7 linked regions of the Neurospora crassa OR74A genome follow. The protein of the gene in region 4 purifies or fractionates together with the protein of the main gene of each other region. This does not show direct contact. Links are inferred from orthologs where the notes say so. Each region holds a gene or a part of one and is shown on either strand. Other genes may lie near its edges.

Evidence for each region.
Region 1: the proteins of NCU01203 (region 4) and NCU03764 purify together in Saccharomyces cerevisiae (affinity purification with mass spectrometry; 3 studies listed by BioGRID). This does not show direct contact. The link is inferred for Neurospora crassa OR74A from reciprocal best matches to the Saccharomyces cerevisiae genes RRP17 and YTM1.
Region 2: the proteins of NCU01203 (region 4) and NCU05233 purify together in Saccharomyces cerevisiae (affinity purification with mass spectrometry, with the first as the bait; 3 studies listed by BioGRID). This does not show direct contact. The link is inferred for Neurospora crassa OR74A from reciprocal best matches to the Saccharomyces cerevisiae genes RRP17 and NOP53.
Region 3: the proteins of NCU01203 (region 4) and NCU09380 purify together in Saccharomyces cerevisiae (affinity purification with mass spectrometry; 3 studies listed by BioGRID, with this or other methods). This does not show direct contact. The link is inferred for Neurospora crassa OR74A from reciprocal best matches to the Saccharomyces cerevisiae genes RRP17 and PUF6.
Region 5: the proteins of NCU01203 (region 4) and NCU02546 purify together in Saccharomyces cerevisiae (affinity purification with mass spectrometry; 3 studies listed by BioGRID). This does not show direct contact. The link is inferred for Neurospora crassa OR74A from reciprocal best matches to the Saccharomyces cerevisiae genes RRP17 and NOG2.
Region 6: the proteins of NCU01203 (region 4) and NCU00337 purify together in Saccharomyces cerevisiae (affinity purification with mass spectrometry, with the first as the bait; 3 studies listed by BioGRID). This does not show direct contact. The link is inferred for Neurospora crassa OR74A from reciprocal best matches to the Saccharomyces cerevisiae genes RRP17 and NOC3.
Region 7: the proteins of NCU01203 (region 4) and fkr-4 purify together in Saccharomyces cerevisiae (affinity purification with mass spectrometry; 3 studies listed by BioGRID). This does not show direct contact. The link is inferred for Neurospora crassa OR74A from reciprocal best matches to the Saccharomyces cerevisiae genes RRP17 and FPR3.

The regions. Positions count from the first base shown.
Region 1 is NC_026505.1:2,340,002-2,343,730, reverse strand, and holds NCU03764 (microtubule associated protein), read right to left. Parts: upstream 2,296-3,729; 5' UTR 2,102-2,295; coding exon 638-2,101; 3' UTR 523-637; downstream 1-522. Other genes in the region: NCU03765 (3'-5' exonuclease/helicase), read left to right, coding at 1-264; NCU03763 (DNA polymerase delta subunit 2), read left to right, coding at 2,630-2,679, 2,745-3,054, 3,110-3,729. UniProt on the Saccharomyces cerevisiae protein: Component of the NOP7 complex, which is required for maturation of the 25S and 5.8S ribosomal RNAs and formation of the 60S ribosome.
Region 2 is NC_026504.1:5,668,347-5,672,182, forward strand, and holds NCU05233 (60S ribosome subunit biogenesis protein NOP53), read left to right. Parts: upstream 1-1,460; 5' UTR 1,461-1,692; coding exon 1,693-1,844; intron 1,845-1,917; coding exon 1,918-3,124; 3' UTR 3,125-3,311; downstream 3,312-3,836. Other genes in the region: NCU05234 (GTP-binding protein ryh1), read right to left, coding at 1-55, 193-281, 366-391, 488-534; NCU05232 (AP-2 complex subunit beta), read right to left, coding at 3,634-3,836. UniProt on the Saccharomyces cerevisiae protein: Late-acting factor in the nuclear maturation of 60S ribosomal subunits, which is required for normal acquisition of export competence. Required for the export of the large subunit.
Region 3 is NC_026501.1:3,514,821-3,518,839, reverse strand, and holds NCU09380 (pumilio domain-containing protein), read right to left. Parts: upstream 2,831-4,019; 5' UTR 2,656-2,830; coding exon 2,418-2,655; intron 2,343-2,417; coding exon 541-2,342; 3' UTR 315-540; downstream 1-314. Other genes in the region: NCU09381 (RWD domain-containing protein), read left to right, coding at 3,217-3,283, 3,355-3,971. UniProt on the Saccharomyces cerevisiae protein: RNA-binding protein involved in post-transcriptional regulation. Component of the ASH1 mRNP which transports the ASH1 mRNA to the distal tip of the bud, where the ASH1 protein is translated and targeted to the daughter cell nucleus.
Region 4 is NC_026505.1:3,224,191-3,227,004, reverse strand, and holds NCU01203 (hypothetical protein), read right to left. Parts: upstream 1,633-2,814; 5' UTR 1,513-1,632; coding exon 1,282-1,512; intron 1,211-1,281; coding exon 746-1,210; 3' UTR 545-745; downstream 1-544. Other genes in the region: tpm (tropomyosin), read left to right, coding at 1-150, 277-439; NCU01202 (hypothetical protein), read left to right, coding at 1,963-2,054, 2,206-2,579, 2,644-2,814. UniProt on the Saccharomyces cerevisiae protein: Essential protein involved in ribosomal RNA processing.
Region 5 is NC_026501.1:2,685,196-2,689,318, forward strand, and holds the start of NCU02546 (nucleolar GTP-binding protein 2), read left to right. Parts: upstream 1-1,290; 5' UTR 1,291-1,622; coding exon 1,623-1,932; intron 1,933-1,993; coding exon 1,994-2,359; intron 2,360-2,414; coding exon 2,415-2,578; intron 2,579-2,959; coding exon 2,960-3,979; 3' UTR 3,980-4,123. Other genes in the region: NCU02545 (hypothetical protein), read right to left, coding at 1-927. UniProt on the Saccharomyces cerevisiae protein: GTPase that associates with pre-60S ribosomal subunits in the nucleolus and is required for their nuclear export and maturation.
Region 6 is NC_026503.1:3,495,512-3,499,632, forward strand, and holds NCU00337 (nuclear export protein Noc3), read left to right. Parts: upstream 1-1,298; 5' UTR 1,299-1,463; coding exon 1,464-3,494; 3' UTR 3,495-3,624; downstream 3,625-4,121. Other genes in the region: NCU00336 (U3 small nucleolar RNA-associated protein 10), read right to left, coding at 1-732. UniProt on the Saccharomyces cerevisiae protein: Required for synthesis of 60S ribosomal subunits and the transport of pre-ribosomes from the nucleoplasm to the cytoplasm. Also required for initiation of DNA replication.
Region 7 is NC_026501.1:5,029,362-5,033,456, forward strand, and holds fkr-4 (FK506-binding protein 4), read left to right. Parts: upstream 1-1,273; 5' UTR 1,274-1,532; coding exon 1,533-1,622; intron 1,623-1,718; coding exon 1,719-2,162; intron 2,163-2,232; coding exon 2,233-2,896; intron 2,897-2,955; coding exon 2,956-3,161; 3' UTR 3,162-3,801; downstream 3,802-4,095. Other genes in the region: NCU16390 (hypothetical protein), read left to right, coding at 304-458, 522-702. UniProt on the Saccharomyces cerevisiae protein: Proline isomerase that belongs to an abundant class of enzymes that catalyze the cis-trans isomerization of X-Pro peptide bonds and can accelerate the refolding of proline-containing polypeptides. Specifically binds nuclear localization sequences.

The sequences.
Region 1 (3,729 bases), about 880 kb from region 4:
TTGGAGTTGTTGGATGAGATTTTTGGGCAGGAGCAGGAGCAGGAAGGTGAGGTAGAGGAGGTTGAGGGTGAGGAGGTAGATGAGACACAGGCAGAGGTGGAGGTAAAGCCGAAGGAAGAGAGCGTGGAGGATGTGATGAAGGCTGCGTTGGAGGCTGGGGATTTGGACTTTGATGAGGAGTTGACGCTGGGCAATAGCAGCAGTCAAGCGACGGTTGATGAGGAAGAGGTGGAGAGGTTGAGGAAGATGTCGAGAAGTCACTGAGCCGGCTCTCAAGCTGCTGGTCGAGTGCTGAACAAGAAAGGAAAGATGTCGACGATGCACCTATACCCCGAGACCGACTTGGCTACTTTTAGACGTTGGTAGATGAACCTTGTATAATCCTCAGAACAACCTGACTGGGCTCTGCAGAAGCCATCTAGTCTATGCTCCAGGTCAGTACAGTTTTCGCGTACAGTTTAGTTCAGAAAGAATCTGTCACGGCTGTTCTTGGCCTCGTCCCTGCAGATATCACAAAAATATCCTGTACAGTATTCACATTCCATTTTATCTATCCTGGGTATATCATAACAACCAAGTTCTGCTGCTTCCCTTCTCTTCATCAACAACCCCCTCTTTCCCGACCATTTTTCTTCCTCTACTCGGCATTCACACCCCTCCCCTTATTAATCTGCACCTTCTTATCCTCACCACCGCTGAAGATGCCCAGCTGATCCCACACCACGCTGAACACCTTGCACCCGTCGCCCGTCACACTGCTCTTCTTCTTCTTGCCCTGCTGGCTCTCGCGATCAATAACGTACACGGGCTCGCTGACGCTGCCCATGCCGCCCTCGTCCTTGGTCGCTGGCCGGACCGACCGCAAATCCCAGATCCGGCACGTCCCGTCGTGCGAGCCCGAAACCAGTGAGTACTCGTTCTCCGGGTTCGCCGCCAGACTGACCACCTTGTTGGCATGCCCACGCAGCGTCATGACGCTCGTCGCGGCCGTGCTGGTGCGCGGGTCGACGAGGGTAATGTGTCGGGCGGAGGTGCCGCAGGCGAGAAGGGGCGCCGAGGCCGAGGAGCGCGGCAGGGCAGCGAGAGAGAGGAGCGCATGCGAGGTTGTGAAGGTGCTGACCACGCTGGAGGTGGTCAGGTCGATGGTCTTGACGGTATGGTCCTGCGACACAGAGTAGGCAACGGTGCGGTCGCGGGGGTCGAAGACGGCGGCCGTGGCGGGCGCATTGTGGATGTTCATAAGGGCGAGCGGGCCGCGCTGGGCGGCGGTGACGGAGGTCGCGAGCTTGCGGCGCTTGGATGTGTGGGCGCCGGGAAGGAGCGAGGAATCGGAGACTTCGGGCGCGGACGCCTTGGAGGTGGTCCAGAAACCGATGGAACCGTCGGCGGAGGCAGTGAGGATGCGCTTCGAGGCGCCGTCAACCTCGAGCGAGTCGATCGAGGAGGTGTGGCCGTACAGTTCGAGAGTGGGCTTCAGCTCGCCGCGACGCTCGTACGACTCGCCCGACTCGGTGTACTTCCATACGCGAACTGTGCGGTCCATGCCGGCCGAGGCAATCTGAGTGCTGGAGAGGAATTTGGCAGCTTTTATGCTGGCAGTGTGACCACCGTGGCTGCCCGAGGGCGAGGTGCCAATCACATTTCCAGAGGCGTCCCATATCCTGAGGAGACCGTCGTACGAGGCGGAGAGGATGCGATCTTGGCCGCGCTGAAAGTTGTCGCCGGACCAGCGGCCCGCGGGAGAAGTAGCGGAAAGAACATCGACGGCGCTGACCCAGTCGTCGTGCTCAAAGCTGGCCTCGTATGTTGGTGGGATCAAACTGCGAACGTACTGAAGGGTGATGTTGGTTTCGAGCGAGAGGCCGTTGGCGTTGAGGTACTCTTCAAGACTGCCGCGGAGGAAGCTGCCGTTAACAAGGAAGTCGAAGGGGATCGAGTTGGTGTCGAGCATGGACTCGGAGTTGAGAATACGGGAGAGGCCATAACGGCGGATGTCGGCGGGGACAAGGAGCTGGCGCTTGCTCTCATCGAGCTGGATGTCCTCCTCCTGGGTGGTGAAGGTCACCCGGACCTGGGCGCCTGATTCGGTAGGGTGGTCCATGGCGGTGCCTGTGCTGTGATATTATGTGAATTGGGTAGTCGCTGTTCGGTATGGGCAGGCTGAATACTATCAATTGACAAGTAAAAGTCAGATTGGCTTAGATTACCGTGAAACAGGCGTCGTCGGGAGGAGAGTGTGGATGTTTACTTTGCAGCGGACACCACAAGGCCATGCCAAATCCAAGACTCCATCCAATTTTTTCTGTCCAGCCTTGCAGCGCAGGGGTCTGGAGTGTTCTAGCTACCCCACGTTCCCCTATCTTATCGGAACTTTATAGCGGGGCCGACGGTTCCTGTGAGGGTCACAGTGCTGAAGCGCCGCTACTATGTAAACTATACTAGTATAGAGTAGTACCGGTCATGTACCTGGCTTAATTGAACCCACTGGAGCTACGCGTCTCGAAATTGTCAAGCGCGTCGTCGAGTTTCGTCCCTTGAAGTCAGTTTCCGAGTCGGGCAGCACATGAATAAGTCACCAATTGCTTTTGTCGTTCTCACATCTTGAGCCATTGTCAGTATCAATCATACGATGGTCACCTTGGACGAAGTTCTCGGTAGCGGTTTGCTACAGAAGCCCTCGTGAGTAGCAGTGGATCATCCATCTTCCACTGGCGATCATCAGCTAACAACCCAACTTCACGAAGAGGCGATGCGCCCGAGGCTCTCCAGCGCCAGATCACCAACTACAAGCCCCTTCATACCTTCAAACTCGAAAAAACCCGTCCCTATCAACAACAATATGCCGATATTTACTTTTTGCGTCTTACAAAGATCAGGCCCGCCGTCGAGGCAGCCGCCAGCGCCGCTTGGGAGGGAACAGTGCTTGGTGGTGAGAAGGTCAAGAGGGTCGAGCGTGTCCTAGACGTTCGCCAGGGAGAACTATGCTGGGTAGCTGGAACAGTATATATGGACATGCCTCTAAAGCCCTCAATCCTCGAGGATGTCTCCAAGGATGTGAGTTTCAGCCTATCCTTTGGTGGACACCAGGCAGCTGACAATGATGTTATAGCGCTGGATCTCCGCTCCCACCTCGGTCGGCCACTACTACTCCGGCAACGGCGAAGACTCGGTAATGCTCGAAGACGACTCCGGCCGCATCCGTCTTGTCGGCAACGCTCTGCAAAACCACTTCATGGTGACCGGCTGCATCGTCGCGGTAATGGGCACCGAGAACGCCAACGGCGAATTCGAAGTCATCGACCTCCTCTTCGCCGAACTACCACCACAGCCCGAGCGCTGGTCGCTCTCAAAAGGCAAAAAGGAAGCAGACTCCTCCGAAGACGTCGAAATGATGGACGCCTCTTTCTCCAGGCAGTCCCACAAGCCCTCCTCTAAAAAGATTGCCCTCGTCTCCGGCCTCGAGTTCTCCAACGCCGACACCTCCTACGCCATGGAACTCAACCTGCTTCTCGAGTATCTCCTCGGCGAAGCGCTCGATCCCTCCGTCCAACGCGACGAGCTCTCACACATCACCCGCCTCATCATAGCGGGGAACTCCATCTCCACGACGGCGGCCGAACAGGCCAAACCCGCGGCTGCCTTCGACACCACCACCGTAACAAACAAGTTCCAACCACAAATCAAAAAATACGGCTACGACAGCAGCTCCTACAACCCGGTTCCCTCCCA
Region 2 (3,836 bases), on a different chromosome or scaffold from region 4:
GGCCGGCTGTGTCCCAGAGCTGTAGGCGGACTGTTCGGTCTTCGAGGTACATGGTCTTTTTCCCCCCCGTAAAGTTAGCCAAAGGCTCTCATCTTGTTCTACTAGTTCTTGGGTCTTTGCAACTGTCGCGCATTGTCTGTCTGGGAAGGAAGGGCGGTAAAGAATTGAATGGGAGACGGGGGTCGAACATGCCTTGGAAAGGAAATCGATACCAATGGTGGCTTGGTACATGTTATCGAACGAGTCGTACATGAAGCGTGTGATGAGCGACGTCTTGCCGACTGTTTGCGCGCAATCGTTGAGTTAGCATTGGTGTCTCGGAGAACATCGTGGAGAAAGTGTTGTAGGTTGAGGTAATCGCATACCGCTTTGTTCGCCCAAGAAGACCAACCTGGCGAGGAGAAAGAGTGGTTAGCATCTTGTCTTGTTTTGTCTTCCATTTGACTTAAGTGCATTGTCTGCAAAAGTGTCGGGTATGTTGTCTTACTTGAATTTCTTCAAGGGGTTGTTGTATGACCCGCCTGCTTGCGCCATTGTGATGGATGTGTTTGCGGATTAACGGTATTTGGCGGGGTAGGTAGGTAGGTAGGTAGGTAGGTAGCTGAAGGTATTCGGAAACACGATCAAGGGGAGGAAGCTTTCGGACTTTGGAGGAGGTGGTGGTGGTTAAGTGGCAGAAAGCTTAGTAGTGTAGGCGGTCGGAGTTGGTCTAGAGTTAGATAGGTGTCTGCTGGTCGTCGAAGTGGAAGATGGACGGCGGCGGAGAGTTGCCGGAGACTGATCATGCAGCGTTGAGTGGTCTCAGTGGTGCGACGGACGGGGCGTGGTGGCCGGGGGGTGGATGACAAGGGAGCTTGGAGGACAATCGGGTCGGTGTTTGGGATCCAGTCGGGGTCTCGTTGCCGACTTGGTTGCTGGGGTCTTTGCAGTCCGTCGAGTCTTCGTTTACCAAACAAAAATCGGGTCGAGAGATCGTTTTATAAGAGTTGATACCACAGAGAGCAGAAAATACTTGAACATTTAATATTTTGTTTGGATACAGATTAATTGATTGACCGACATTCCGTATGTACGTATGTACAAGTTTACATGTTTTTATCCATTGTTTATGCATAACCTCAAGTTCGAACAACAAAGTGTTTCTTGCGACTATTATTCAGTCTTCTTCCCCGAAGCGGACTCATGCGAGAGAAAGGGGACCGCGCCAAGCGATCAGTGGAGGGAAACAGTGGCCGCCCGCCGCCTTTCTGCGCCCAGACAAATTCGACACTTCACTTGACCAAAACGACCGAGACCGGGCATCCAATGGAAGCTTGGCGGCCGTCATTGGATTTGTCCAGAGGCCGAGGCAGCTTGGAAGTCTGATTGGCTAATTGCTCCAACTGCCAGCTGAGCACGGCTGGGGAAGGGAACTGAAGCGCTGGACGCTTGTGTTCCATGAAGTTGCTCTTCCCTGTCCTGTCTCGGGCAGGTCTTTCTTATCTTATCGCTGCCTCCTGTCGCCGCTGAAATTTTGAGTTGCACACCCCACTGGGCAGTCGGATTGATTGCAGAGGAGACCCCAGAATTCCAGGCGGTTTCGAGGTATCAATATTTCCAATTTCTTATCTGCCTCGAACCTCCGCCGACTCGTTTGATTTCTTCGAGTCGTCAACCCAACAACACAACACACCATCACATCACATATCCAAAATGCCCGTCCTAAAACCCTTGTCGGGCAATCCCGAAGCCCCCAAGCAATACAACCAACCGTCGAGAAAGGGCAAGAAGGCGTGGAGGAAGAATGTCGACGTGACAGAGGTCGAGCAGGGTCTCGATGAGTTGAACGCCCAGATTATCAAGGGGTACGGCGCTCCTTCTGTGATGCTTTGTATTACCAAAGACACCAATTGGTTAACATGAATTATCGTATAACAGTGGTGTCATTGCCGAGAAGACCTCCGAAGAACTCTTCGCCATCGACGTCAAGCCCGACACCGAAATCACCAAGAAGCTCCCCAAGCAACTCAAGAAGCCCTTGAAGGCCGACGAGATCCTCGCCCAGCGCTCCGCCGTTCCCGCCGTCTCCCTCAAGAAGCGCCCGGCTTCTGAAACCTCCGGCAAGGTCACCGACGGCGTCCTGCCCTCCAAGCGCCTGCGGGCCACCTACGTCACCCAAAAGGAGCTCAGTCGCCTGAAGCGCGTTGCCGACGGCCACCACACCACCACGGTTGAGGTCGTTGACGCCACCTTTGACGCCTGGGCCGACCCAGAGGAAGAGCAGAAAAAGAAGCAGCAGGCCGCGGAAACGTTCAACTTTTTGCCCAAGGTCGAGAAGCCCAAGGCGCCCAAGACGCTCACACAACAACCCATCTCCCTCGCCGCCACCGGCAAGCAGCTCCCCGCCGTTCCCAAGCCCAAGGGCGACAAGTCGTACAACCCCGCCTTCACCGACTACTCGGAGCGCTACCAGGAGGAGCTGCGCAAGGCCGAGGAGGCCGAACGGAAGCGGCTGGAGGAACTCGAGAAGGAGCGTCTCAAGGCCGAAGCGGCCGCCAAGTCGCGCGCCGAGGCCGAGGCCGCCGAGAAGCGCGCCGAGCTGTCGGAATGGGAGGATGATTCCGCCTGGGAAGGGGCCGAGAGCGACGCGGAAGGGTTGGCCAACAAGAAGAAGCGGCCGGAGCGCAAGACGCAAGCCCAGCGCAACAAGATCAAGCGCCGCAAGGCCGAGGAGCAGCGTCTGAAGCACGAGGCGGCCATCAAGAAGAGGGAGGCCGAGGCCGCGCGGGTCAAGCAGATTGCCAAGGAACTGGCCGAGAAGGAGAGGCAGCTTGCTCTCCAAAAAGCCGAATCCAACAATGTCGAAGAGGACGATGCTAGCCTTGAAGAAGATGACGACGTCGAGCTGCGCCGTAGGCAACTAGGCAAGTTCAAGTTGCCCGAGAAGGATCTGGAGCTGGTCTTGCCGGATGAGCTGCAGGATTCGCTGAGGTTGCTCAAGCCGGAGGGTAACTTGTTGAAAGACAGGTACAGGAATATGTTGCTTAGAGGCAAGGTGGAGGCGAGGAGGCACATTCCCTTCAAAAAGCAGGCCAAGACAAAGGTCACGGAGAAGTGGACTTTCAAGGATTTCAATCTGGCTTGAAGCGGCTCGGCTGGGTTTAAGTTTTGGGGCTTTACGGACATATACATATTCGGATTTGTTTGGTAATTGTTTTTCCTTCTACAAAATATTCCCTTTTGGTTTTTGTTAGTAGTACGTTTGTCATGTGTATATTGGCGTTTACGGTTTTCTCACTTGGTCTTCAGTGCAATAAAAGGTTGGAACATTCAAAGTGGTCCTATGCTCGCGTTTTTGTCTTTCAAGTCTTGTAGTGAGATGACATTACATGAATGTCTTCACACTCGCCCATTAACACACCAGAACATACGTAGTGACGGGATATTACTTGTTATTCGCATTATCTACAACCAAAAACCCTAACTGGATATCTTTTCCCACCACCCTACCAAATCACACACTCACCACGCTTCCCCAACTCCTAGTCTGTCTATTACATTACTACCTTGTCTCTCCTCTCTTCCCACTCTTACCCCTTCCCATCCCATCCCCCCTTTCCATTCGGAGCTAGGCACCCCTCACACCACACTCCCTCACAACAACAAATCCCCCTGAGCCCCATTCATCCCTCCCATGCCATTCATCCCCCCCATCCCCGGCTGGTACGCCGAGCTCTGACTGACCACGTACCCCTGTCCATACCCATAATGTCCCGCATCCCCACCAAAACTGTCGCCGGGCTGCTGTATCTGCATCTGCCTCATCTGCTGCGCAAAGTACGCATCCGCATCATTGA
Region 3 (4,019 bases), on a different chromosome or scaffold from region 4:
GGGTGTAGCCTTGAGGCAGTTCCGTTCTTCTATTCGGTTTCCAAGCGGCACTTAGCCATCAAGTGACGGTGAACCCGATATATGTCGGTCTTGGTGCCGCAGTCAAAATGTTTGCACAGCACTTTGCCTCTACACGCCATGTTGATATGGGGAGGTTGTGTCCCTCGAAAATTGTGGTACAAGTGGTTCAATGTGAAGGTCGTATGATAATAAGGCCTTCCAAGGTCCGGAATGGCGAATATAAGAAAGTTGTCTCGCTCCTGTCTGGTTAATTATGATTTACCTCACTCCAAGTAGGCCACGGCCTGTTTCAAGCGTCATATCTGAACCATCAGGGAAGTCTGGAAGCAAGCTTTTCTCTATGCAATCATATATAACATGTCCAGACTTGTAAACAGGGCTATCAGTCAACCGCAAATTACGCGGGGCCCAACAAAATCGCATTGACAAAGTAAACAACATAAAAGGGGTATTTAGTCAACCTGTGGCTACCGTCCACTTTTGTCACTATAGCCATGCGACGCCTACAATTTCCTCAACCTAGGCATCGAGCTTCTCTAAAAGGAGCTTCGAGCCCTGGTTGCCCTTGGGGGCAGAAGCATTCTTGCCCTTCTTAGCCTTTGGCTTCTCCTCCATCTCTTCCTTCTTCGACGCCGGTGCTTCAGTTGCGGCCTTGATAAGGGCCTTCTTGTTGGACTTGAGGGTCTTGAGGAGCTCCTTCTTCGATGAGAAGTCGGAAGCCTCGAGCATAGCTAGCACCGTCCAAGAGCTAGGGCCGGTGGCCCATTGTACAATGTGGTCCTTGATGACGGGATAGAGAAGGTCGGCGAAGTTGAGCGGGGGGTCGACCTTCTGGATGCTGCCTGTGGCCTTGTCAAACCGGCCGCCAGCAATCAGTGTCTTGAACATGCGGCCACCGTGAATGGTTGTCGAGATGTGAGGGGGAAGAGCTTGGTAGGCATCCTTGGGCGCCTCAGCGTTGGGATCGCCACCGGCAGTAGAGGCAATAGCCTCCAACGCGGCCTTCTTATCTCCAGTCGCCGAAAGCAAAACATCAGTAACAAACTGGCAACCGAAAGAGGTGGCCACCAGGTCGGCGGGTGAGCTTGCGATGGCCGCAAGGAGCTGAGGCGACATGGCCGTCACCAACTCCTTACGCCTAACCTCGGCGTCCTTCTTGCTGGTCTTGGTGCGGATCTCGTGAATCTCCTTCAGAATCTCCAGGTCGGTGGCGTGGCTGGCAGGGAACAACGCTTTGGACATTCCCTCAAAGAGATATAATACCGTCGTGCGCGCGTTGAGGTCGTTAGCGAGAAAGATGACGTGCTCGGCATCCTTCTCTTCATTCTTGCCAAGAATCTCGGAGAAGATCGTCTTGGACGTGAGGACAGTGTCATCAAGGAGATCGTAGGCGGCGAGGATGATCGCGTGCGCGTGATTGTCACCACTCATGAGCTGGTAGGTGTCCTTGTAGGCCTTGAGCAGCTGCTTGCGGTCCTTGGCGGTTCCGTGCGCAAGGAGCAAGCACACGAGGCGGGCGCCAGACTTGGTGAATGCCATGTTTTTGAGCAAGTCGCCGGTCTCATCCTCCTTAATAGTCTCAAAGAACTCCTTGAACTCTTCGCTTTCGGGGTTAAGGTTGAGGAAGTACTGCAACAGAGCGTCGTGGAGCATGGTGAAACCAGTCATTTTCTTTTGAATGAGGCCATTGGCCATGTCAAAAAGGTACTTCATCGCCGTTGTCCTCTTGCTGGGCTCGTCAGCCAAAATCTTGGAGAGATCGCCAGTGACCTCGGTACCCTTGGGTTGCCTAAACAGAGCAAACTCGGGACCGTACCACTCGCGAAGGAGGTTGGCCTTTTGCTCCTTGGTCGCAACACCGCGGTAGACATCGTCCAGAATCCAGGAACCCTCAGCATGGTTGATGAGCTTGCGAACTTTGCCGTAAAACTCGGGGACGATGATGTCGCGGATCTCCTTGTCGTTCTGCACCAGAAGCTTGCCGATCAGGAACTTGGCATACCTGCTCTCGGCGAGCTGCGCATAGGTTCCTTGAAGTTCCTTCGCAATCTGCCTACGCTGAACCGGGGTGGCGTACTTGACGGCGGTCTGGACGGCACGGACAGCATCGTGCTTTAGGACAAAGTCCTTGATGCGGCCAGTTATGATGGTGAACAACTCCTCAACGAGCTGTTGGCGCTCCTCCTTAGGCACATGCGACTTGCGACGGAGCTTCTCCCACAGCTTCTTGGTACGGTGCACCTCATCGGCCAGTGGCTTCGCGTTCTTGCGTTCTTGGGCGAGTTGTTTTTGCTTGGCGTGCGCCTCCCTGGAGCTTGTGCCTGCGTTGTGTTAGTCAAATAACAGAGCGAGGTTCGGTCATCATGGGGCAGATATGGTAAAGAGAGACAACGTACCAGACTTGGTCTCGTTGGAGCCATTGCCGGACTCATTGGGCGTGGATGTTGTGGTCTCTCCTGTGTGGAACTCGGCGTCTGAGCTTTCATCGGAGGATTCATTGTCTTCGGCTTCGGCCTTGATGTGTTTCTTGCCAGAAGTGGTCTTTACTGCTTTTGTACGGCCATCCTCGTTATGCTTGCCGAACGCCTTTCTCTTTCCGCCGGCAGCGGCTGCTGAAGACGACTTGGTCGCCATTGATGCTATGCGATGTCTGTGTTGCTCCGGGATATGAAGGATTGATCTAGGTATGGGGGGCTCGTGTTGACGTCGTACTGGGTGGGCGCTGGTTCAAAGGTGATGGTCGAGCAGGAATATGTGAAAGTGCAGGTATTCAGACGGGAATCCGAAACTTTGGAGTGCCCTGTATCTGAAGCCTCTGAATTGGAAATTCTGTAGCACGTTTTCCGCTGAAAATTTCTGGATCCGCATCCTGGCATCTGCCGGGCGGTGAGAAGCTTTCCGGGGTTCTGTGGTGGGGCGACTTGATCGACACTGTCTAGAACTGTCCATTGATATAACAAGGAACCCAGGCAGGACCCCCACCATAGATTGAGCCGCGCTCGCGTTTTGGAGTTTGGCCTGCACCTGACGCTACAGTCACTGCAATGCCGTCTGGTTGCCCCTCCCGTCCTCTTCTCTAGGTTAGTAAACGCCTGAAAGTCAACATTGCCAGCACCCACTTTTGGAAGGAGTCTTTCACGTTTTATGTCGTCCAGCACACTGCAAACTTGAAAGGCGCCCTACCGATTGGACATCATGGGCCGCGAAGAACAAATTGAAGAGAGGGAAGTCCTCGACTCCATCTTCCCAGATGAGATCCAAGGTTCGATTGTTCGCCCACATCGGTTGCCGTTCAGGCATGGGCCTGTCCTAACCCAAGCTCGACTCGTCTAGATATCTCCGATACCGAATACCGGATTACTATCACGCTGGACATTCCTGATGATGATGCCGAAGAAACACCAAGCATGGTACTTACCGTACGGTACCCCGAAGACTATCCCGACAAGCCACCTTTCCTTGAGCTTGCGTCCGCCCCAAATGCGCCGCCCCATCAGTACATAAACATTGCCGACGATCGGTTCCAGCTGCTCGAAGGTATCCAAGAGACAATTGAAGAGAATTTGGGGATGGCCATGATCTTTACTGTTGTGTCGGCGTTGAAGGATGCTGCGGAGCAACTGGCAGTAGAGCGGAGGGACGCTGCCATCAAGGCGCAAGAGGAGGCCGCCCTTGCCGCGGAGCGCGAAGAGAACAAGAAGTTCCAGGGCACTCCCGTCAATCGCGAAACCTTTTTGAAGTGGAGGGAGAGTTTCTTGCAGGAACTGGAAGATCAGAGAATCAAGGAGGAAGAGGAAAAGGCGGCCGAGATGAAGAAGGCAAGGATAAAGGAGCCTGTCAAGCTCACGGGCAAACAACTCTGGGAGAGGGGCTTGGCTGGGAAGGGTGATGAGGACCTGGAAGGCGATGATGACGTCCCCGTGGAAGAGGTCCAGAAACTCACGGTTTAGGACCGTTAGACAAATCGTAAGCCCTCTATCACGTTCGCCAAAATTATC
Region 4 (2,814 bases):
AAAGCTCGAGACCCAGGTTAAGGAATTCAAGAGCGCCGCCGAGGATGGCGCGCAACAAGGCACTCAGAACGAGACGCTGACACGGAGACTTCAACTTCTTGAAGAGGAGGCCGAGGAGGCTGACAAGACTCTCCGCGAGACCAACGAGAAGTACGTTTGCATCGAAATACACGCACCCCTGGACGATGAGATGGGGGAGGGTCCTAACCCCTGTGCCCTTGAACCCCTTTTCTTTGCGACACCTTAGACTAACATGATGTTTTCCTCCTTCAACAGGCTTCGCCAGACCGACGTCAAGGCCGGCCACTTCGAGCGCAAGGTTCAGGCCCTCGAGAACGAGCGCGACCAGTGGGAGTCCAAGTACGAAGAGATGGCCAAGAAGTACGCCGAGGTACAGAAGAGCTTGGAAGAGTTCCAGGCTGATATTGCCAACATCTAAGTTGGTTAACGGATGCAGTCGGAACATGGTGGAAATTCCTTTCTTTACGTTTGTTCACAGCGTCACCGCATCGATAATATCAGCCTGACCCTTTATGCCGTTTGTCCTCGGGTTGTCGAGTAGGGAGATAAGACGGACAAAGCAAGCCGTTATCTAACTCCCGCGTACAACTCATATTGCCTACTAGTTCAAAGCATAATCCATCATCCCAGCATTGCACATACAGTACTTAAACAAGATCTAGATATCGTAAGGGATACCGCTGTCAGGAATAGCGGTAGATTATTTCCTTCGCCATCTAACCTATCACGACCGCTTCGCTTTCTTTGCCCTCTGTTTCCTCTCTGTGACGTTTCGGTCATGTCGGCTTTCGTATGTGAATTTTCTCTTCTTCTTTTTCTCTGGGAAGTTTCGTTTTGATTTCTTGTCGGCTTCCTGCTGCGCCGCCTCTTCAGCCGCCTTCTTCTTCTTGTTGTTCTTCTCCGTCTCGGAATCTTCTTCGTCCTTCAAGGTCCGTGGTTTGTGGATGCCGTCCCTGTCTACGCTGACGGCTTCTACTGTCACGGTCGTATAGCGGTCTTCATCGATGTACTCCTCCTCGACATCAAGCGCAGGCTCTTCCGCCACATCGTCTTCGGATAGCCCATCCCATTCGTCGTCTGACTTGTTCTCGGTGGGTTTGTCGTCGGTACCGGCACGCTCTGCCTCGTGGAGAAGCTTGTGCACTGTTTGGATATGTTCCTCGAGGTTCTTCTGCCGCTCCTCTCTGATCTGTACCCGACGTAGATTAGACTTACTGCCATGGAACCAACCAAGAAAGACAGCGGTCATCCGGTACGTACCTGCTTTCTCAACCTAATTCGTTCCAGCCGTGCCTCTTCCTCTGCTTGCGCCTTCGCAGCCTTGATTCGGGCCTGTTTACGCTTGTGGAAACCGGTAAGATATTCGGTGCGGGCGTCCTTGTCGAATGTGATTTCCTCGACCTTGTGCACTATCTTGCGTTTCTTGGGTGGCGGCGCGAGCCCACTCTTTTTGGGCCTTGGGGCAACAAAGAACGCTGGATCCCTCTCCATAATGGCTTCGAGGGTTGACTTTGAGTGGAAAGTTCGTTTGGTGGTTTTGTGGAGAAAAGGGAACAAGAAATCGAGGTAGAGGTAAGGGCGGGAAGGATGTTTGGATGCAGCGATCTGGATGCTCTGGGTTCAACTGTAAATTTACTGATAGCCACCCCCCTGTTCAAATGTTCACTCGAACGGGGCACCATGCAGGAAGCGGCCTTATCGTATTCTGCCCTATTCTACCGCCTATCTCTGATGTCCATAGCCTGCCGGTCACACCCAGCACCCAATCCCATGCATCAGACGTCTGGCGCTCTCTCAGTGCAGTGACATCCACGCTCCCGGGCTCTGGATCCTGGAGCTACACCACGCTGCCAGTTTGTACACTACACCATATTCGCATATCCAACACAACAACCGACGACGACGACAATATCGCAGACAGTTTGGCATAATCTGTAAATCATGAAACTCTCGATAGTAACAACTCTGCTCGCCTCTACGGCAGTGCATGCCTTCTCGGACTCTTCACCATTTGTCCTCTTTTCCACCTCCAGGTACGTCATGTCCCAATTGTCGCCGTGGGTGGTGTCCCTTCAAGTTGCCCTCGCGCCATCACGATCTTGTGCACCACATCCCACTCAGTTGCGCTTTCATGCATGTGACTTCGACTGAAGATGCTGACCCTTGCGAAACCGTGATTTCCAGGCTCAATACACCCGAAAGATACGATCAGCTCCAAACCAGCAATCAAGTGATTGCTTCCGCCAAGGAGATCCTTTCCTCTTGTCCTACGAAAGACTACGTTATCGTCTCCCAGCCGAACGTGCACGCCGCCGACATCCGCGATGGCTCGCACTGTAAAATGCGCAGTCTATGCGACACAATCGCAAGCAAGGAAATCAAGGGCCGTTTCAGCGTTGCGGAGGTAGTCGGCGACCTCTCAACCCATTCGTTGGAGGATTATGTGAAGGAAGCCTGCGCTGCCAAGGGGAAGGTTGCCGGTATCGTCAAAGTTGACCTCACGCATCTACCTTCCTTGGAGCACAAGGATAATAGGGCGCAAATCCTGGCTTCTAATGGTATGTCTAGTTCGGATCACGGGTCGGCTATTGAATTGCCCCGTACTAACCTGTGCAACTATAGACGATCAGTTGGGCCTGGTGCTCGATACCCTTGAGGGCGACTATACCCTTGTCATGGTATCAGACCCTAACGAGTTCAAGGCTTACCAGCCTGACTTTATCGAACCAGTCCATATGGATCTCAAGCGCGGACAGTTTAGCTCTCAGGAGGGCAGTGACAACGGCAACACCA
Region 5 (4,123 bases), on a different chromosome or scaffold from region 4:
CTCGGCCACGTTCTTCTGCCTAACTGTCGTCTTTACGGCGGCTGAAGTGGTGGCAGTAACTCTGTCGTTGAAACCGCTGAACTCGTTTCGCAACTCCCTCATGCTAATGGGGTTCTTCTGCGAATCCCAAATGCTGCGGCCGCTTTCCCAGAGACCGGCGTTGTGGATCTTCTCGGTGAAGTGTTTGTTGACGTGCTCCTCCAGCTCCTTCTCGTCCACGATGAAGTTCTTGGACGCCACGTACAGCTGGACGACGGCGTCCCGGCGCGCCTCGCTCTTCATCGCCTCCTTCTCTGCATGTTTAATACGCGCCTCCTCGGCCTTGACGAAAGCCTCTGGGTCCAGGGGTACGAATGTGTTCTTGGCCGTGCTCTCGCGAATCGTCGCGCGCGTGAACACCTCGTCCAGACGCTCCGGCGCCTGGGCCGCCCGCTTGTTCGCCAAGTAGCGCGCCTTGCTCTCCTTCGCCTGCTTCTGGTCGCGCTTCACCTTGCGCTGCCAGAGTCCCTGCAGACCGGCCTCGAGTGACTGGCGCCGGGCCTCGGCCATCTTGCGACGCCACGACTCTTGTTTCGACTTGGGCGGCAGACCAGCCAGCTCGGCGGCGGACTTGGGAGCGATACGATTGACATAGCCGGATTGGACCTTCTCCGGGACGCCCTTCTTTGGGAAAATGGAGCGGGGGATCGGGAGGTGGCCCTTGACGAAAGGGTGCCTAACCTCGGAAGACTGCGGCGGCTCGGGGACCTTGATGTAGTTGGGCGAATCGGGGGGGATGGAGACCGAGTCTCTAGCCGATCGGGTGGTGCTGAAAGATCGGGCGGCGATGGCGCGTGTTACTACGCTGGTGGCAGCGCATGTTGTGGTCGGGGAAGAAAGGATAAATTGCACGCCGCTGAGCGACGGCCTGGCAAGAGTTGGCGCCATTTTTGAGGTGGAGGGTTGGCTGAAGACGGGGTGAGCGGGATGGGGTCGGAGTTGGGAGACTTCTGGCCGGGCCGTGCTATGCGGAGGTTTCGTGCGACGGAGGGAACGGACCAGGCGGGTGCAGCGGCCTCTCGCTCTCCTAGGTAGGTAGGTTCGGCTCGGGATCGTGGGACACGCCGCGGTACGAGGGGGCTTTCAACTCCGTCGAAATTCTGAAAGCTCGGGGAGGCCAGAACGGCGCTAGAGTGCTCTTGGTGCTACTAGCTTTGCTGGTCGCGGGCGTTCTGCCGTCGTACACCGCTAAACTTTTTGTGCATGGGGACCTTTGCGCGGCCTCCACACCCCGCCCAAAAAAAAAACTGACAAAACTTTCGCCGGGACCAGTCGCAGAGTTGCATTTCCTCCTTCTCATTCCTTCCTCGCTTCCCTCTCTTCTTTTCTTCTTCCCCAGTCCATTCATCCTCTCGATTCTCACGCAACACCCTCTGCCGATATCTGATACCCCATAGCCTCGTTTCTAGCCTTTTACCCATTCTTCCCTATTTTCGTGTGCTTCTTCTTTCAAGTCAATCTCAAACCCCCCGATCTACGGATACCCCCAGCCGCTCTCGCAGGCGAGAACGAAATTCTTCCACATCTGCATCCTCTACCCACCAACCTACTCGGTAATCTGGCATTGAGTGATATCTGCCAAAATGGGAACAGGAAAGAAGGAAAAGTCTCGCATTCAGCGACAGGGCAAGGTGACGGGTGATCCAAAGGTCAAGGGCGAGAACTTCTACCGGAGCGCAAAGAAGATCAAGGCCTTGAACGTGCTGAAGGAGGGAAAGGCCATTCGCAACAAGGAGGGCAAGGTCGTCAAGGCCGCGTCGTATCAGAGCAGAGATGTTCCCACAGCCGTCATCGAGCCGAACCGGAGATGGTTCAACAACACCAGAGTCATTTCGCAAGATACGTTGACATCTTTCCGGGAGGCGATTGCCGAGAAGGACAAGGATCCTTACTGTACGTTCAACTCTTCCGTCACTTGTCCGGCCGACCAAGACTAACGCACCTTGTCTTGTAGCGGTGCTGTTGAAAAGCAACAAGCTCCCCATGAGCTTGATCAGAGATGGACCCAAGGATGCGTTGAAGAAGCACCAAGCCAAGATGACGATTGAGAGCGAGCCGTTTTCACAGACCTTTGGCCCCAAGGCCCAAAGGAAGAGGCCAAAACTCAGCTTCAACACGATCGGTGACTTGACAGAACACAGCGAGAAGAGCATGGATACATACCAGGCCAGACTCGAGGAGATCAAGCTTCTAAGTGGTGCTTCTGGATATGGCGGTGGTCTTGCCGATGACGATGTTCAAGAGGAGGATTTCAGTGTCGCGACGGCCAAGGAGGCTATCTTCACAAAGGGCCAGTCGAAGCGTATTTGGAACGAACTGTGTAAGTCCTTCTGTGTTTGGGGACTTGTGACTTCGGGTTGCTAACCATCACATAGACAAGGTCATTGATTCGTCAGATGTCATCCTGCACGTTATCGATGCCAGAGATCCTCTGGGAACCAGGTGTCGTCACGTTGAGAAATACCTTGCCACTGAGGCTCCTCACAAGCATCTTATTTTCGTGCTGAACAAGATCGATCTTGTTCCTTCCAAGACTGCTGTAAGTGTAGACCATTATTTGCTTTCACTCCTTCTGCTTGAATCTCTTGACTTGCCTCGCGCAAATCCTGAGGTTCCCAGGGATTTTGTCAGGATCTTTCCCGCATTCAGTTGCGCTTCATTGGGATTGGTCTGTTACATCGCTGGGAGATTAATATCCACCTCCCAACCTCTCTGGTCCCGTCTTGGGATTGGGGATTTGATGGACTCCGTTTTGGAGGACTTCACGGGATACCGGACGTGTTTCGTTTGAGTTGAATTCCACCCTGCCTTTGAGCAGACTCTACCATGGTGGTCTTCTTAGTTATGATTCACACATTTCTTCACATTATACATATATGTTATATTCAGTAACGAGTTGAGGACTAACTGAAAACAATAGGCCGCGTGGATTCGCGTTCTGCAGAAGGATCATCCTACATGTGCTATGAGATCTAGCATCAAGAACCCCTTCGGTCGTGGTTCTTTGATCGATCTTCTCAGACAGTTCAGTATCCTGCACAAGGACAGGAAACAGATCAGCGTCGGTCTTGTTGGCTACCCCAACGTCGGCAAGTCGAGTATCATCAATGCCCTTCGTGGGAAGCCCGTTGCTAAGGTCGCCCCTATTCCCGGAGAGACCAAGGTCTGGCAGTACGTCACCTTGATGAGGAGGATCTACCTCATCGACTGCCCTGGCATTGTTCCTCCCAACCAGAACGATACGCCACAGGATCTCCTGCTCCGTGGTGTTGTACGTGTGGAAAACGTCGATAACCCGGAGCAATACATCCCTGCGGTATTGAACAAGGTCAAACCTCACCACATGGAGAGGACATATGAGCTCAAGGGCTGGAAGGACCATATTCATTTCCTTGAGATGCTTGCTAGGAAGGGCGGCAGACTTCTCAAGGGTGGTGAGCCTGACGTTGATGGCGTTGCGAAGATGGTTCTCAATGACTTCATGCGAGGCAAGATTCCTTGGTTCACGCCTGCCCCCGAAAAGGAGGAGGGTGAGACTGATACCATGGAGGGTCGCGAAGGACGCTACGGTGAAATGTCCAAGAAGCGGAAACGTGACGAGGACGACAGCGCGCCTGCTACCACTCCCGCTTCAGCAGGAGAGGATGCCAAGGAGGAAGACCCTGAGAACTTTGCCGGGTTCGACAGTGACAGCGACTCTGAGGTCGAAGAGGCTGCTGAGGAGAAGGGTGAGGAGAAGAGCACTGCTGAAGATATGATACCCCTGGACGCGTCGAGCGATGAGGAAGAGGATGGCGAGGAGGAGGGCTCTGACGTCGAAGATGACGAGGAAGGATCCGACCTCGACATCGAAGGAGCCAGCGAACTCGAAGAGTCTGAGTCAGAAGCCGAGGCTGCGCCAGCACCTCCCCCGAAGAAGCAAAGGAGGAGCAGGAAGTAAACTCGGTCAGTGAACGCGATGGGCGGCTGGGGTGAACCGAGCATGCGTTCAATAGCCGACCTCAGGGTTGGTAACGATCCAATCGGATCATGACGGCCGGTGTCACTGATAATAAACTGTTGAGGACTTGGGCATAACCTCAGT
Region 6 (4,121 bases), on a different chromosome or scaffold from region 4:
AGCGTTGTCGTTCTCGATCTGGATGCTTCTCCTGCCGGAACGGTACTTGTCGAGCAGACCGTTGGTGGCTTCAACCATGACACCACCCCAGAAGGAGATGAGGCCAGGGTATTCCATCTGGTACTTGCAAGAGTCAAGAGTGTACTGGGAGATGGCGGTAAGCAGCTCGGGGCGGTTCGTCGCTTGCTGAACAATGGCGGCGCGAGGGGGCGCGGTCAGAGAGCGGATGTAGGGGTCGAGGAAGCGGTACTCCTTGGGGATGTTGGCGGGCAGGATGGACAACAAGGTCACAAAGGCCGGGATGGTATGGTATGGGAGGAAGGTCGCGATGAGAGCAGCCGTGTTGAACTCATGAACGCGGAACCGGCGGATCAACCACTCGATGGCCTTGATGGTGGGCATGAGACGCAACCTGCTGCCGCACAGGTGGAGGAAGGCCTCGACATGCTTATCGAGGGCGGCATTCTCAGCGGCGCTCATCTGTGTCCTGTCGGCCTCCTGGCTTTGTGGGCTCCATAGCGACTGGGTGAACTTGGTGAAGCGCGAATCAAGGTTGCACAGCTCCTCAAAGCCTTCGAGGCATATCGAGTAGATCTCGGGGTATGTCTGGGTAGCGGCAACGCGGGGCTCGAAGATCAGGGACTTGGAGTGGGCGGCCTTGAGGACCTTGGTGTTGAGGGTCGACCGCGAGTTGGCAGCGATCTGGGCCAACTGGGAGGCCAAAGACGACATGGTTGGGTGTTGGTTTCTACGATTCGGCTTTATGGTTATCGTATGGTACTATCGTCAAGGAGAGTCGACGTCGATATTTCGATCGCGTCGCAAAGTGGGAATTCGATCGGCCTTTCGGCGCGTGGTGGGAGACGGGGAAGAGTGCAGTCTCGATTGTGTATCGTGGGGTAGAGACTGGGATTACGGGAGGTTGGATGTGTGTACAGTGGTCGAGAAAGAGATTAGGTGCCGCGGTCTCTCTTTGCTGCGACGAGGTTGATGTTTTCGGAGAGTGCCCCGTCGGTGGGTTCCTATTTGGATGGATGGAAGGAAAGGGAATTCAAACTTGGAGGAGGAGGTGCGGCCACTCGAAGCTCCAGCGCAAGCAACTGAACTCGACCGCAAAACTCAAAGTGCAGTCAATCGATGGCCGTTCATGGTTCAGCAACTTTTTTTTCCCCAAGCGGTGGGGTCCGATAAGAAAGCTAAACCAACCACATCCCGCCGATAAGACCCCCAGCTTTGGCAGCCAGGGTCCAAAAAGTTTGGAAAATGTTCCTGAGCGGTTCCTCATCTCAGTGAAGAACAAACAATCGATACCCATCCATCTCCACTCCAGAACACCGCTCGCTCCCGTCTCACTTCAGTCTGTCTTCAGCACACATCGATCAGCCGCCCACACTCAGTGTTTCAGGTTCACTTCACATCATCTCACAACCCTCCAACTGCACAGACCATCACCAGCCACCACCATGTCTTCCCATCCTTCCAAGCGGAGGAAGCTGACCGAGGGAGGCCAGTCCTCGGACGGCGCAGCAACCAGCGACGTCAAAATTCAAAAGCAGTTCTTCAAGAGTGCACAGAGCTGGAACCTCGAGGAGGACTATGAGAACCGCCCCAGGAAAGGAAAGAAGAAGAAGGAGAAGAAGGTCGCCGATGCCACGAAACTGCCCATCAGAGTTGCCGAGGGAACCTGGGTGACGCAGGAAGAGGAAGACGCCGAGATTGCGAGCGATGCCGAGTGGTTGGAGAGTGAAGGGGAGGAGGCCCCTGAGGAGGAGGAGGCTCAGCCCGAGCCAGAAGCACCCAAGATTCCCGAGCGTGAACAGATCAGGAGAGCCCAGGAGGAAATGGCCAAGATCGCAACGCAGCTCAATGAAGACCCAGAGGAGCATCCGGGTGCTTTCAAGGCGCTCGCCAAGATTGGAGAGTCGGACCTTCTCGCCATCAAGAAGCTCGCCATTGTTGTCCAGATGACCGTCTACAAGGATGTCATTCCCGGCTACAGGATAAGACCGGCTTCGGAGGATGTTGCCAAAGAGAAGCTGTCCAAGGATGTCAAGCGGCTACGCGTCTATGAACAGGCCATGGTGACCGGCTACTACCAATACATCAAGACCCTTGCTGCCCTCGCCGGTGGATCGATTCGCGACAAGTCCAAGCAGCCCATTTCCAGCATCGCCCTTACCTGCGCCTGCACCCTTTTGAACGCAGTACCGCACTTCAACTTCCGCGGTGAGCTTCTCAAGATTCTCATCAAGAAGCTGAGCTACAGAAATATCGATAAAGACTTTATCAAGTGCCGGACCGCTCTCGAGACCCTGTTTCACGAGGATGAGGATGGTCAACCCGCCATGGAGGCCATTTCAGTACTCACAAAGATGATGAAGGCTCGTAACTACCAGGTTGACGAGAGCATCCTGAACCTGTTCCTCCACCTGCGTTTGCTTAGCGAGTTTTCCGGAAAAGCTTCCAGAGACACGGTGGAGAAGCAGGACGATGGGTCGGTCAAGAAGCCGAAGCAGAAGAAGGAGTTCCGCACCAAGCGTGAGCGCAAGCTTCTTAAGGAGCAGAAGGAGGCTGAAAAGGTCATGGCCCACGCCGACGCAGCTGTGAGCTACGAGGAGCGAGAGCGGATGCAGTCCGAAACGCTCAAGATGGTTTTCGCCTCGTACTTCCGCATCCTCAAGATGCGTATTCCCAACCTCATGGGTGCCTGTCTTGAAGGTCTCGCCAGATACTCCCACCTGATTAACCAGGACTTTTTTGGTGATCTCCTTGAGGCCCTAAAAGACCTGATCCGCTACAGTGAAAAGGACGCCAACAAGGAGGACGAGTCGGACGACGAGAACAAGGAAGAGGAAGAGGATGAAGACGACGAGCACGAATTCGTTCGTGACACCAGCCGCGAAGCCCTCCTCTGCACCGTCACCGCCTTTGCTCTTCTCGAGGGCCAAGACGCCCATAACGCCCGCTCGGACCTTCACCTCGATCTCTCCTTCTTCATCACCCACCTCTTCCAGTCCCTCCTCTCTCTCTCCGTTAACCCGGATCTTGAACTCGGCGCCCAGTCGCTCCAGCTCCAAAACAGCGTGCGCCGCAACAACCGCATCAATTTGCAGACCACCACCGTCCTGCTCGTCAAGTGTCTCAGCGGCATCCTCTTGCCGCCCTGGAACATCCGCTCCGTGGCGCCGCTCCGTCTGGCCGCCTTCACGAAGCAGCTCATGTCCGGATCGCTCCAGGTGCCGGAGAAGTCAGCCCAGGCGCTTCTCGGCTTGCTCGCCGACGTGCTCCACACGCACGGCAGGAAGATCAGCTCGCTCTGGAATACGGAGGAGAGGAAGGGCGACGGCACTTATAAGCCACTTGCGGCGACAGTGGAGGGTAGCAACCCATTCGCGTCGACGGTGTGGGAGGGCGAGCTGTTGAGGAGACATTACTGCCCCAAGGTGAGGGAGAGTGTGAAGGAACTGGAGAAGAGCATCAAAAGTATCAAATAGCTGGTGAAAGGGTGATGTCGGAAGGGATTGTCTTGTTATGTCTACGAGACTCTAGGTGTAGGTTGTTGGAGAGTATACACGTTAGCTTTGGCATAGAATTATTATTGTTGAAACGATTCTGGATATCTACGAGTTTATGGCTGTGAAAGTGATTTCAATGGCGGCTGGCAGACACAAAGCCACCACCATACCAACGGGTACTTTTGTCGACCAAACCCATCATGATCACAGTGGAATGTGGTATTACTTCAGTTTCTTTGGAGATCTAAAAGCAGGCGGTCGCATTTGTTATGTGATAACACTTGGAGAATGAGCCTCCTCCACTGCACCTTCCCAAGACATTTCCAACTTTCAGTTGGCCATCAGCTGTTTTCCCTCCTCGACCTCCATTCAGCCGACCATCCTGACCTTTGCATCATTTTTCTTTTCTTTTCATCTTTTCTATTTTCTGCTCTAGCTCTGTCTCACCGAGTCGGGTCAGACTTGCCGAACCATGGCGGCTGTACATTAAACCGAGGCATGTCCGTAGCTTCCCCTCAGCCTCATGCGAGTTTAATTGGTGAGGTGAAAAATCTTTTGCTGTCTGATGACGATCGTCATATCGATTCATGGAGTGTCTTTCTCATT
Region 7 (4,095 bases), on a different chromosome or scaffold from region 4:
CCAATTGATGATCCGCGGTCAACAAACCTACCGCTAGAGGAAGTGATAATGATAGCTGACTACCCCCCCCCCCCCCCCCCCCCCCCCCCCCAAAACGACACAAAAAACATCAGCAGAGTCCAACTATTTATCACCCAATCCCTCTGATAGCCTCCATAGACATCCGCTTTGAAGTGGCACCAGGAAAGCTTGACATCGTCTTGATTCCGGGACCGGAATCCTTAGCTTGACCTCTAAGAGGGCCCAGCCGCTCTGTCGTGGCTGGCAGGGCATGCGAACAACACCAGTAACAACCAGACGAAAATGACAGACATCCTAAGCGTCTACTCAGCCATCTACCTCTGCGGTGCGGCCGGGATACTCAAAAGCAAGCAAGCCTGTGGACCGCGAGAGTTGCAAGGAGATCTGCGGACGAGATTCGAGGACCAGGACGTTATTCGGGTGGCGGAGAAGTTGAGGTGGGTGGGGGATGGGAATCTTTGGCTTATTCTAGTGGTTTGTTTTCATCCCTTCCTGACTAGGCCCAGAAGACTGGGCCGACATTCGATGAATACTATAGGAGGCGTAACCAACGGCAATGATCTCGTTGCGGCTTACGCGAGGCAGAGCCGTCACTTCCCGGGCCCAGTGGCTAAGTCGGGATTGAAGCTCGTTAAGGTGGATGAGAGGCCGCAGAGATATGAAAATCGAGACAAGATCTAGAGACGATTGCGTTGATGATGGGATGACTGTGGCATGCTGGGTTATCAAGGTGTGCCTGAAGGTTCAGCCAGGGGCTTACCTAATCTTGCTTTGAATCCCTCAGAAATGCTTTCGTTGGTGAATCCTCTCACTCAGGTGGAGTGAACCGTGAGCCTGGGGGACCGATGTGATGTGGGATGGCATCGCCGGGAGACTCCAGACATGTACCTGTGGTGCATGGTGTTCATTCTTATACCTCCCACCTGATGCACTTTGCTCTGGCACCAATGAATCCTGCAGATGGCAAAAGATTGCAGTCCCGCGGCGACCACCTTCAAACCTCGAGTCGGTGATGACGAGTTGCAGTTTGAACATCCCGTCGTCGCAAGGTTCCCATGCCAGCTCTAGGCACATCAAGCGTCCGCGCACGACGTTAGCGCGGAGCTTGTCGAACTCTTCCCCGCTTTTGTTAGCAGACCGGCCTGCATTGACCGACATACCCTTGCTAGCTTGGCTTGGGGAGCGGGAGAGTGGCAGTGAACCGATAAGGAAGTCTTATCGCTACAGTAACAGACAGTACAGACGGTGGGGTGCCGAAATTTTTCTGGATTCCAAGTGCAGTTCGCCTGAACTTTTCCTGTCGACCGCCCTCGTCCTCGATCGCATTTTCTGCCTTTCCCAAGTCAAACTGGTCGCATCCATCTTCAGACTTTTTCTACCCAGCCCATTCATCTTCTTTCAATCTTAGAAGTGTATACTTCCGACGACGACTTCGAGTTCCTGTCTCTTTAGTTTTCTTTAAAATCTAGACTTTTTGATACCCCGGCGCAAAGCACCACCCAATCTTCACAATGGCCCCCCTTATGCCTGTCGCCGTTTTTGGCTTGGAGGTTCCTCCTGGCGAGATCCTCATTCCCGCCGCCTCTGAGTTCCCTGCTATCGTAAGTGCACACTTTTCGGAGCCTTTGGCCCTCTCCTTCGCAGGCAATGGCGCTCCACTGGACTGGGTTACACGGAGCTAACGACATGAATTCCAGATTCACATCACCATGGCCGCCCTCGATCCCACCAAGGCTCCTGAGGCTGACGGCCAAGGCAACATTCCCGCGCTCCCCCGCTCGACCCTGAAGATCATCAAGGCCACTGGCCACGACCATGACGACGATGATGAGGAGGAGGATGAGTACCTCCAGTCCCTCCTCGGCGGCGGCGACTCTGACGACGAGGCCAACGGTGGTCCCAGCGACCCTTCCAAGTCCAAGAAGGCCAAGCAGGAGGCTGCCATCAAGAAGCTTATGGCTGCTACCCAGGAGGAGTCTGATGAGGAGATGGAGGATGCCAAGCCCAACGGCAAGAAGGGCAAGGGCAAGGGCAAGGCCAGCGAGTCCGACGAGGAGGAGAGCGACGAGGAGAGCGACTGCTGCGGCGATGATGACCTCCAGCTTGAGGACTACGTTGTCTGCACCCTTGACACTGAGCGCGTAAGAAGCCCCATCCATTCGGTGAACGTATTTTTGAGTTCTTGGAGCTAACCTGATTCCCCATATACAGAACTACCAGCAGCCCATCAACATCACCATCGGCGAGGGTGAGAAGGTCTTCTTCTGTGTCCAGGGTACCCACTCTGTCTATCTCACCGGTAACTTCGTTGTTCCCGAGGATGACGAGGAGGACAGCGAGGATGATGAGGATGAGTCCGACGACGAGGATTACGACTTTCCCCTTGGTGGCGAGGATGACGATTCCGACGATATGAGCGACGAGCTCGACGAGCTCGATGGCACCCCCCGTGTCAAGGAGATCACCTCGGAAGACGAGGAGGAGGAGGCTCCCAAGCTTGTCGACACCAGCAAGAAGGGCAAGAAGCGCCCCGCCGAGGACGATGCCGAGGGTCTCGATGCCATGATCTCCAAGGACGACAAGAAGCTCAGCAAGAAGCAACAGAAGAAGCAGAAGGTTGAGGAGGCCAAGAAGGAGGAGCCTAAGAAGGAGACCAAGTCCGACAAGAAGGTCCAGTTCGCCAAGAACCTCGAGCAGGGCCCTACTGGCCCTGCCAAGGACAAGCTTGAGAACAAGAAGCCTACCTCTACCGTCAAGGTTGTCCAGGGCGTCACCATTGATGACAGGAAGGTTGGCACCGGCCGTGCCGCCAAGAACGGTGACCGTGTTGGCATGCGCTACATCGGAAAGCTCCAGAACGGCAAGGTCTTCGACTGTAAGTCTCACTTTTCCATCACTCTCACAGTATTGACTAGAGACTAATATTCAATACAGCCAACAAGAAGGGTGCCCCGTTCTCTTTCAAGCTCGGCAAGGGTGAGGTGATCAAGGGTTGGGACATCGGTGTTGCTGGCATGGCTGTCGGTGGTGAGCGTCGTCTCACCATCCCCGCGCACCTTGCCTACGGCAGCCGTGCCCTTCCCGGCATCCCCCCCAACAGCACTTTGATCTTCGACGTCAAGCTCCTTGAGATCAAGTAGATTGTGACGTTTCGAAGCGTGGGGTAGGAAGGCTTTGGCTAGCGTCGCGATTTCTATGGCGGTTGTCATCCACAACCTTTCGTGTTCTATGGCTAGCAAGTCTTGGGATTTCTTTGGTCAGCACATATTTCCTTGCGCTCATGTTGGGTTTGGTCAAGGAAGTGGGAATGTCATTTCAACAGCATAATGTCAAAAGTATTGGGTCTGGATTTCTTTCTGTACTTTGGGTTGTACATCGTTCATGGGGCACGATCTATTCTATATTGCGTCTATCAATTGCAAAGGCGCAACATTTCTACGTTACCTACACTCGACTCGGACTTGGCAAACTTGGATGTTTCGAGATGTCGAGGAAAGTGTCTTTGATTGACGGACGGTAATAACTTCCAGGAAAGCGTGACAGTTGGCTACAAACACTGGCTTTCTTCAGAATTGAAGTCGTACCTGCCCTGTCTGTGCCTCAAGAGGTCAGTGTTGTTGACCTGGGGCAAGGGAGGCACATCTAATGGGTAGGTAGTTCAGGTGATGCATAGGTATGGAGCTACCTTACTCCGAGTCGTCCTCTCTCACTGCACCTTGTCGTATTTCAACACACTGACAAAGTCCATCCACGTCTTCCCACCTCCCCGCTCTGCTTCCATCTCTCAATAGGTATCGTCATTGTATCTTTCACTATCATCATAGCCGCCGCGACTCCCGACTGCCGCCAAACTAGGCATTGTGCGTTACGATCGACCAACTTAGACGCCGCAGCGGTTTCTACCATTCAATGGACAGGACCGAGCTTGAGACATGAAGAGGAGCTCTTCCCAAACATCAAGTCATTTGGGTACCGCCATCCCGGTTTATCGTCCCACTAAGCCTGACGACTGCTCGCCTAGGTCGTCTCTCGCTTCTTCTTCACCCAGTCAAGGTGCCCATCGCCCATCGAGAT